Linked DNA regions of Mus musculus: region 2 is reported to be linked to region 1. The links are microRNA targets in miRTarBase. Many come from high-throughput screens and were not tested one by one. Region 1 holds a microRNA gene; the other region holds the end of a gene's coding sequence.

Region 1 (4,380 bases):
CTTTCTCCTCTGTGTCCTAATACCTGGCAATGACCTGGACCATGTTCTGATGGCCCCTGCCCCTTTTTCCTGACCCAGGGGGAGCTGGACTACCAGCTGCAGGACCAAGACAGCATCCTCTTCATCTCCACACTGCACGGCGGCTGAGGCCTCCCCAGTGGGCCCAAGCACCTTTGCAGGGGAACACAGGACAACCACAGCACTCCTCGATCTGCTTCCAGGTCCTCAGTCCCCCTTGGCTGCCTCCTTCCCTGCTGTACCCCTGAGCTTCCTCTAGGCAGGGAAAAGAGGCCAGGTGCTAAAAATGAGCCTTTCTGGGCAAGGCACGTGAGCAGGGAGAGCGAAGAGAGAGAGCAGCCGCCTGAGTCCAGCACTCCTCCCAGCAGCTGAGGTGGGGGAGGGTGTTCCTGTGCTGTGTCAGGAGTAGAGGGGGCTCTGTGCCCAGGTGACCCAGCTGCTTGCCACTCATGTGTCTTGGTGTATCTAAGCACTGAGTGGTTGCCTGGAAGGCACTCCAGTTCCTGAGACATCTTCATGGGGAAGATAGATGGGCTGGAGTAACTGATGAGAAACTCCTCCCTTGCCAAAGATTAGAAGGGCCTCCGCCTCAGTTTCCCCATCTGGACACAGAGAGCTCTGCTTGTCCCCCACTGATGTCATTATGGAACCCCAGCTGGGGTCCCCTATTCAGTGCTCCCCTCCCTCCTCCACCCAGCAGCTGCTCTCCCCCCCACCCCCTTCTCCATCCTTTGACCCTGGCTGGCCTCCCCCCCACATAGGCCACCAGATGGGCTCCTGAGATACTCTCCAGGCTGCCTACAACTCATTCTGTTGCGGGTAGAGAATGGAAGGGAGCAGCCTAACCGTAGGCAGAGGGGGCGGGGCCTCAGCATGTGTAACTCCAGGCTTCCTGAAACAAGTGGGATTTGGGTGTGCAGCACCTAGTGGGCAGAAGGCTGTGTGTGTCCCTTTCCTCTATCTTCTGGAGACTTCATGCCTGCAGCAGCTGGCCTCGGGCAAATAAAAAGACTAAGTGACTAGGTTGTTTACTAGCCTTGCTTCACCCTTAAAACTGGTGGGCCCTGTACTCTCTGGGTCTGTGGGTTCTAATACAAATGCCCTGTTCTGAGCCAAGGGTTCAGAGATGGCCTTCACCTGAAAGGTAAAAACATGAACTGTTCCAAAGAGAGGGTGGATGAGTAGGACGGTGTGGATGGGAAGGGAGTGTAAGCCCGTGATGACCAGCCCACATTCTAAGCCAGGATTTCTCACCAACCAGTCCAAGCTAGGCTTTGTTCTGCCAACTGCAGTCACCAGTCCCAGAAGGGGTGGCCTAAGTAAGCCTGCTGAGTCTCATTACTTCCACAACCTGCAGAAAAAGCTTTATCTGACCCAAAATGTTGCTTTTCACTACATGGCAATGAGGTGGACTCCTTTACCTTGCATAGATGAGAGTGTTTGATACTGTGGGCCAGTGATGGGGGTGGAGAAGAGCAGACTCTCAAGGAGAGCATTCTCTGACGTCTGCTTGGTGAGCTGTTCCCAGCCACTGCCCCACAACAGACCCTTGGGCTTGTGTGCATAGTAGCAGCCAGTGTTGGGTCCAAGTGCAGCTGAGGGTGTGCTGAGGTCAAGCCTCATCATAGTTTTCTCACTGTGACATTTTTAGAGGGTCAGCCTGTCCTGGTTCCAAGGCTTCAGCTACCAGACATAAGCACTAGGATGCCTTCTAGCTGATGGGTGGGAGGGTGTGGGTAGGGACCTCTTGCTTTTATGGCACCCCAGTTAATGCTGAGCATTTAGGAGGATGGGCTGAGGAAACCAGCTTTCCCCATGTGGTGCCACTGCCCATTCACTCTGGTCCTCTAACAGAAAGGGGTCAGAGACAGGTGACTCACTAAGCTCCAACAGCCCCCTCCCATGCACCTCGTGGCCCTTGTTTTTGAGGAAATAAACAAGTCCCACTACCTCCGAAGCATTTTTGTTGTTGTTGTTGTTTTTAATGAAAAGGATTGATTTGTCCAAGTTCGTATTTCCAAAGCCGTAGCGATTGCCCGGCTGGAGCGCATCATTCCCCAGCTTCTGGGTTTCTGGCAGCCGCGGGAGGAAGCACAGCCCATCAGTCGGTCCAGAGGAGCTTGTGGGAGGGGTTGGTTGGCTGGTTTGGGATATGCGGGTTGATTTCGGGTTTGTTTGTTTTTTGTTGTTTCGGGGGACTGGTCAGGGGACAGGTTGAAACAAATTCAAAACAAGTTAGCAAAAGAATTTTGCTGTCGTATCCCTTCAAACCCCCCCCCCCCAACTGCGGTTCTGACCAAGGACCGGCCGCACGAACCACATTCGGGTCCCGGTCCCGCTGCTGTATGCCAGCTTCGTTCTGGCCGAAATTTGAAAGTGGGGGAAACCCAGCGTAATCGACCGGAGGACTCTGCCAGCCGACACGGGTCACCCGCAGAGGATACGGAAAGAGGCGAGGATGAGGATGGCGGCGCCGGTGGCAAGGACTTTTGTCCCCTCTTTGCATGCCAGTCTGGGGCCACAATGATCGTTCTGGGACCTGCCGGCTGCTCAGGGGTTCTCCCAGCGTGGACCTCGTCTCTGTAGAGCCCGGAGCTCAACCACAGATGTCCAGCCACAATTCTCGGTTGGCCGCAGACTCGTACAAGAATTGCGTTTGGACAATCAGTGGCGAAGCCCCTGAGTTCAGGGCCCCGGTCCCCCTCTGGGTTCTGCCTGGCTCCTTAAAAGCGCACACCAGATCTCGGGAGCTGCGTATCGGAATACCTCGCAGAAGCTCGGCAATCGCAGCCCGTCCCGCGGTAAGGTGGACAAGCCGGTGTCCAGATCCCGGCCCTGCTAGGGCATCCCCATCGCCCCCCAGCGTGTTTCCTTCCATCGCGGCCAAGGGTCCCTAGAGTAACCCGCGTTGTGTCTCTGGGCTGCCCCAGCTTGGAGGAATACCCTGTCAGGCCCAGGGAACCCCATTTCCCTCTCCCCGCCCCCAGGCTGGGTTCTGGGAATCCGGAATACTGGGGCCCGAGGCCGGTAGCATCTCTTGAGCCCCGGGTCTGGGATGCTGGACTCGCGGGGCCCCCTCCCCAGCCTGGCCCCGCGCACGCACCGGCTCAGGCGCTCTCTGCTTCCTTGTGGCTGAGTCGCGGGTGGTGGTAGCCTGGGCAGCGGGGAGCGCCGGAATGTGCCGCCGGGTCACCTGCAGCGCCCAGGGAGCCGGACTGGGAGCCGGCGTGCTGGCGAGGCGCAGGGCTGAACCCAAGCGGGCGCCTCTGGCGGCTTGGGGCCGGGGCGGGCTTTTAGTGGGCCGCTCCAACAATACGGGCCTGGCGCGGAGAAAGGGGCTCGGCTGCAATTGGTACTGGATTTGAATAACGCCACGGGGCCATCAATGGTCATTGTGTCGACGGGTAATGAATCTCCGCTGTCTCTCTCGGGCTGGCCAGGCAGCTGCAACCTGCGCTCAGGCAGCTCTTAAAGACATAGCATGCCCCTCCCTGGGGGCCGCTCCCCCCACTCTGCACCGGCAGGACCCTGTGCCCTCCCACCCCACTCAGCACCCTCCATTACGGATGCCCCGCCTGCTCCCTCAGCTTGACCCCTTTGCCGGTAGCCCCCCCCCCCCAGGGCCAGGCACCCACATCTCGGTCCTGGACTCTGGACCTGAATGAGGCCACTCTAAGCTTGGCTGAGTTCCCCAAGAGTAACCAGGAGAATCCAGGATCTTTTAGGACCCAAGCTTCCTTCCAGTTACATCTTTATCTCTTGAGTTCTCACTCCTTAAAGCTCCTTTCCAGGGGTTTCTCCGTGGTGTGAGGGGGTAACAGTCTAGAAGTCAGAGGGTCACCCCCCTTAGAACACTTATCCGAAGAATAAGGGGGGATCATATAGTCCCAACCAACAGGCTGAAGATGCAGTCTCCAGAGACCACACCTCCAGAGGGATCTGGAGACTACCCCTCCCCTCCCCAAAGACAAGGGCTTGATTCCCAGGCTCCTATCCCTTAGCTGCAGCACCGATGGACGAGGGAAGCAGGTGTGTGTGAAAGGGTAGGCAATCTGTTAATGCTTGTCTCCTGTGTCTTCCTTTGGATGGTCCACCCATCCAGAGGCTCAGGAGCTCTGTGGAAGGTCTGATATGTACCCTGAACAGGTCTGATAGAGAAGAGATCTGGTCTGCTGTTTGCATTCATCCAGATCCCAGCCCCAGAGATCAGTCTGGGGGTTGTCACCCCAGTGAGTGTCACTTTCCAGAGGGGAGTGAGCGGTGGTCTTCTTGCCTTTTATCCTTCCCAGGCTTCCTCAAGCACTCTGCCTCTTCCATGGCACCCCCCAAACTCCTGCCCTGAGATACACTCTTCTTATGGGC
Region 2 (4,380 bases), not on the chromosome of region 1:
CTGTAGCTGCCTTCGTAATCCCTTAGCTATCTAAGTAACGCTAGTAGTCAGAGCAGTGTTTATCTTCGTTCTAGGGGAGGTCTCTTGCAGCCGCTGTAGTACTGGAATGAACTAAAGGGAATCAGACATATGCTGAAGTGCCAGTCCAGCTCCAGAGAACCCTGGGAACTTGGGGGGATCCTGAGCTGGGCGCTTTGGAGATTTCAAACTTTGATGTGCCTTTTCTTTTTAAGTCACAAATTGATTTTGAATGTATGGCTCTTATGATTTTTCTCTTCTAGCCTTAGCTAGGGGCAAAATAAGTTTAGAACTTTGAAACACCAGCCTAACCAAGTAGAAAAACCACAGGTTTTATTAGAGCCACATGGTCCTTAGTTTAAATATCTTATTTGATTTGAGTCTTTTTTTCCCTTCATATAGTGAAGAAAATATCAGTAAAAAATTACATTTCTCTTGCATGTAAAACCTCCGCATAATACCTGATGAAGTGTGGTTGCTAGACTTGTTACCCACATTCTCTTCCTTTTGGATGAAACTAATGCAATGGAGGATCGTGGCCTCTGTGGGGCGATGTTGGGGTACTTGGGGATTCTAGAAATGGCTGCTGGAGCTAGAGTCAAGAAGGTGCAGCCTGGCAGAAAGGTGAGTGTCCAAGCCTAATGCCTGATACCTCCCCTTCCTTGCCCTGCCCCCTGCAGTCCTGTCCAAGAACAGCAAGCCTATCCACACCACCATCCTAAACCCTCACGTCCACGTGATTGGGGAGGACGCAGCTTGCATCGCCTATATCCGGCTCACTCAGTACATCGACGGGCAGGGTCGGCCTCGCACCAGTCAGTCAGAGGAGACCCGGGTGTGGCACCGCCGGGATGGCAAGTGGCTCAATGTCCACTATCACTGCTCAGGGGCCCCTGCCGCACCGCTACAGTGAGCTCAGCCACAGGTGCTCCTTGTTGGGGAGAAGGGACTGGGAAGGGGAGAGATGGCTTGAATAGCTGAAGGGTAGGAGGTGGCTCTCTAGGAAGAAGTACGGGCCCTCCCAGAGGGGTGGGACAGACTGGGCAATGTAGTTTTGATAAGCTATGCTCTGTAATCAGACAGACTCCAGATTTGGTGCAAGCGTTCTTCCCCTGCTGAGCCTTAGTTTCTTTACTTATCAAAGGATGGATGGTAAGGATTAAGATACCATATTAAAGCACTGAGTAGGCCCTCAAATGTGAGAGTGCTGTGTTTAAACGTTAGCCTCTCCTGTACCAGTCCTCTCAAGGACACAGCCAAGTGTGTGCTGTGAATTACCTGTGTTCTCACCGTCCTCTTCTGTCTGTCCCACCTCCTCTTCTGTTTGACAGGGGCATTAGGAGACTCCAGCTGGAGGTTGAACCTTCGCAGCCAGTGACTCTGGAGGGCCTGAGTGACAGCGGCGGTCCTGTTCGTTTGAGGTTTAAAACAATTCAATTACAAAGCGGCAGCAGCCAATGCACGCCCCTGCATGCAGCCCTCCCGCCCGCCCTTCGTGTCTGTCTCTGCTGTACCGAGGTGTTTTTTACATTTAAGAAAAAAAAAAAAAGAAAATAAGATTGTTTAAAAAAACGGAATTCATACCATGATGCGTTTTAAAACAACTGATAGCCCTTGGCTTGCAAGGAGACAGGAGTTTGTGTGATGCTCATCCAGGCATGAACAGTGGGCTCACCCACCAGTATTGAAGAGGTGAGCTTGGCCTCAGGCCCCCATGGATTCAGGGGGACCAGGCAAGGACTCTTGACAGAGCTTTGGTCATGGACAAAGCCATGGTGTGGTTGCAGCCCCAGAGGTGGCCTGATCACCCCAGTTCTAGGAGTGGACTTCGTCAGACCATGCATTGACACCTAGTATGAGAAAGACGCAAACACCGTGGCCGCTGGACCTACATTGGAGAGAATGCAGCACTGCCAGCCTGCTGTGTGTGGAGGCAGCTGTGAGGCGTGGCCTCAGGACTGAAAGCCTGGACTTTGCTGTACCGGTCCAGTTAGCGTAGACAGGAAGAGAATTGGTGCTGCAGAAGTGTGTCCGCCAATGAGAAACCTCGAGTTCGTCTGACATGCACTTAACTCATCCATTTCTAGAGGATGCACAATGCACGTGGGCCTGAGACTGAGGCCCGATTTCTGCTGGTGGAAAGGGGGAGGGATTGCTACTTTGTTTCCTGTTGGTTTTCCTGACATAACAAGGAGAGATCCAGAAGTCGTTGGCCAGGGCTCCTTTTGCCACTTTTGGCAGTTGTTTGTGTGCTGATCTGGACCATCTTTGTCTTGTATTTTCATGGTGGTGGTCCCCATGCTGACCCTCATCTAGGCCTGGGCCCTCTGCCAAGTGCCCCTGTGGGATGGGAGGAGTGAGGCAGTGGGTAAGAGTTGGTGGTTGTTTCTATGCATTCTGGCTGCCCTCTGGGCTGCCTCCCTTCTTCCCATGCTGCACGCCCAACTCTTTCCCTGGGTTTGAGATCGAACTGACTGCTTGGGTGAGAAGTGTCCTCTTTAAAGAGGCTCTTTATTGACCAACCGAAGTATAGACTTTTCTGCTGGACAATCTGCATGGGCATCACCCCCTCGCCTGCATGTACCCACAAAGGGGTCCAGAGCCAAGGCTCCTGCATTCATTGTCCCTCTCTGTGCTCAAGGAGGTCCATTCCAGGAAGAAAAGGTCTGTACCTTAGGCAGATAACAGAGAAGATAATGGAAGAGGCAATTGGTCATAGTCTTGGTTCCCTCCCACCAAACAACTGCACATTATCTGCATTGGGGGGGGGGGTAGATTTCAGCTCCTTGGGTGACCTTCAGGAGGCACAGGAGCTGGGAAAAGAGAACTACAGAGTATGGAGCCAGCTGAGAAGAGAACAAACGCATGGGTGCTGGTGCTTGAATTTAGCCAGGCTCCTCAAGCACTTGTGCATGCCTCAGACCCTGGACCCTAGACCCTTCCTGCCCTGCAGCCTGCAGTGCCAGCCAACAGATACCTTCATCACAGGGTTTGGTTTTGCTGGCTTGAAGACAACAAATGGTCTTAGAGCTCTTTGAGACCCATAGCTTCATGTGGCTGCTCCAGCCCCACTTCTTAGCGTTCTTACTCCACTTCTGGGGCTAATGTCAGCATCTATAGACTATTAATAGACTATTTAAAAAACAAACCACCTTTTAAACAGGAAATGGAAGGCATTTGATGCAGAACTTTTGCATGATGACATAGAAATAATTTAAAATAGTGTTTGTTCTGAATGTTGGTAGTCCCTTCATAGCTTTGTTACAATGAAACCTTGAAGATATTTAATAAAATAACCTTTAAACAGTCCATTGTGTTATTGCTGTTGGAGGCTCGTAGCCGTGGGCTTAGATTTTAGCAGCCTGCGTGACAAGGCTTCACTAGGAGACGAACATCTTTTTGCCCATTCCCTTGGGGAGCAAGGAAGAAAACTTCTCATAAACTCAGCCTGGGCTGCTGTATTGGGGGGTGGCAGGGAGGAAGTAGCCTCTTAGGCGGTGGGCCGAGTCTTCGCCCCGCCCCAGGCGGAGGTGGCCCCGCCCTTGGTACGCGGGCTCCCTCCTCCGCGGGTCTGAGTGGACAGGCCTGGGCCCTGGGCCCGCCCCGACGCTCCGCAGACTGTGCCACCCGGCGTGGAGGACGGGGTCCACCCTGGTGGGCTGAGCGCGAGGCCGGAGGGCTGGGAGGCTGCGGCTGGGCTGAGCACTGCGGAGGGCCGTCGGCTTATCCCAGGTCCCGGTCACGCAGCGGCCACGCTCGGGGAGCGCGCGGACCTGAGCGGGCACCACGAGCCGCAGCGCGCCGCCTCCCCCTGGTGGGAGCGGTACTTGAGCCCGACTGCGGCGGAGCGTTCGCTCGGAGATGGCGGAGCCGCCGCGACGCGGCCCGAGGCCCCGCGAGCAGGGAAGCCGGGCAGCCCCGGGACGCGGCAGGGCCCGGGGACAGCGGGGACGCCGCCCACTCCACCGGGTGAGCCATCTTTGAGAGCAGTCTCCCGTCCACGGTCGCCCTCGGTTTTCGCGATCAGACTTCCTGCGAGTGTCGCCACCGAAACCACCCGCAGGGTCGTCCTGGGCGACCACCCATCTGGCCCTGTGCACCCTGCCCCGAGTCCCAGCCGCTGGCCTCCCCTCAGTTGCCTTATTCTGGCCACTCCGCCCAGGGCACACGGGGTTCTTAAACCCAGTGCCTGTCTGGATGCCAACTCTCGGCCGCACCCCTGCCCCTTTCCCTCCAGCTCCCCCACCTGTGGGCTCCCCATTTCCCGTAGTTCCCGCAGGAGGGTCCTTCTATCCTCAAGGTCAGGTCCTTCCTCCCACAGCGTGGCCCCTGTTGTTTATTCCAGTGGTGGGCCCACACCTC

Evidence for each region. The annotated mature microRNA mmu-miR-219a-5p reads UGAUUGUCCAAACGCAAUUCU and lies in region 1 at 2,665-2,685, opposite strand. An mRNA with a match to its seed (bases 2 to 7 or 8) in the 3' UTR can be bound and repressed. Matches are read on the target gene's strand: a 7mer-m8 pairs with bases 2 to 8, a 7mer-A1 pairs with bases 2 to 7 and ends in A, and an 8mer does both.
Region 2: miRTarBase lists Camk2g as a target of mmu-miR-219a-5p. Seed matches in the 3' UTR shown: 7mer-m8 at 2,564-2,570.

Annotation. Positions count from the first base shown.
Region 1 is chr2:29,843,025-29,847,404 of GRCm38, forward strand. It overlaps Mir219a-2 (microRNA 219a-2), which reads right to left and starts at 2,703; the gene lies at 2,607-2,703. It overlaps Urm1 (ubiquitin related modifier 1), which reads left to right. Exons shown (of 5, transcript NM_026615.4): 5 at 79-1,972. The coding sequence ends at 147. It overlaps Mir219b (microRNA 219b), which reads left to right and starts at 2,623; the gene lies at 2,623-2,687. It also overlaps a transcript of Cercam not described here.
Region 2 is chr14:20,733,822-20,738,201 of GRCm38, reverse strand. Camk2g (calcium/calmodulin-dependent protein kinase II gamma) reads left to right here. Exons shown (of 21, transcript NM_001360186.1): 20 at 699-943; 21 at 1,350-3,329. The coding sequence ends at 931. Ndst2 (N-deacetylase/N-sulfotransferase (heparan glucosaminyl) 2) reads left to right here and starts at 3,640. Exons shown (of 15, transcript NM_010811.2): 1 at 3,640-3,987.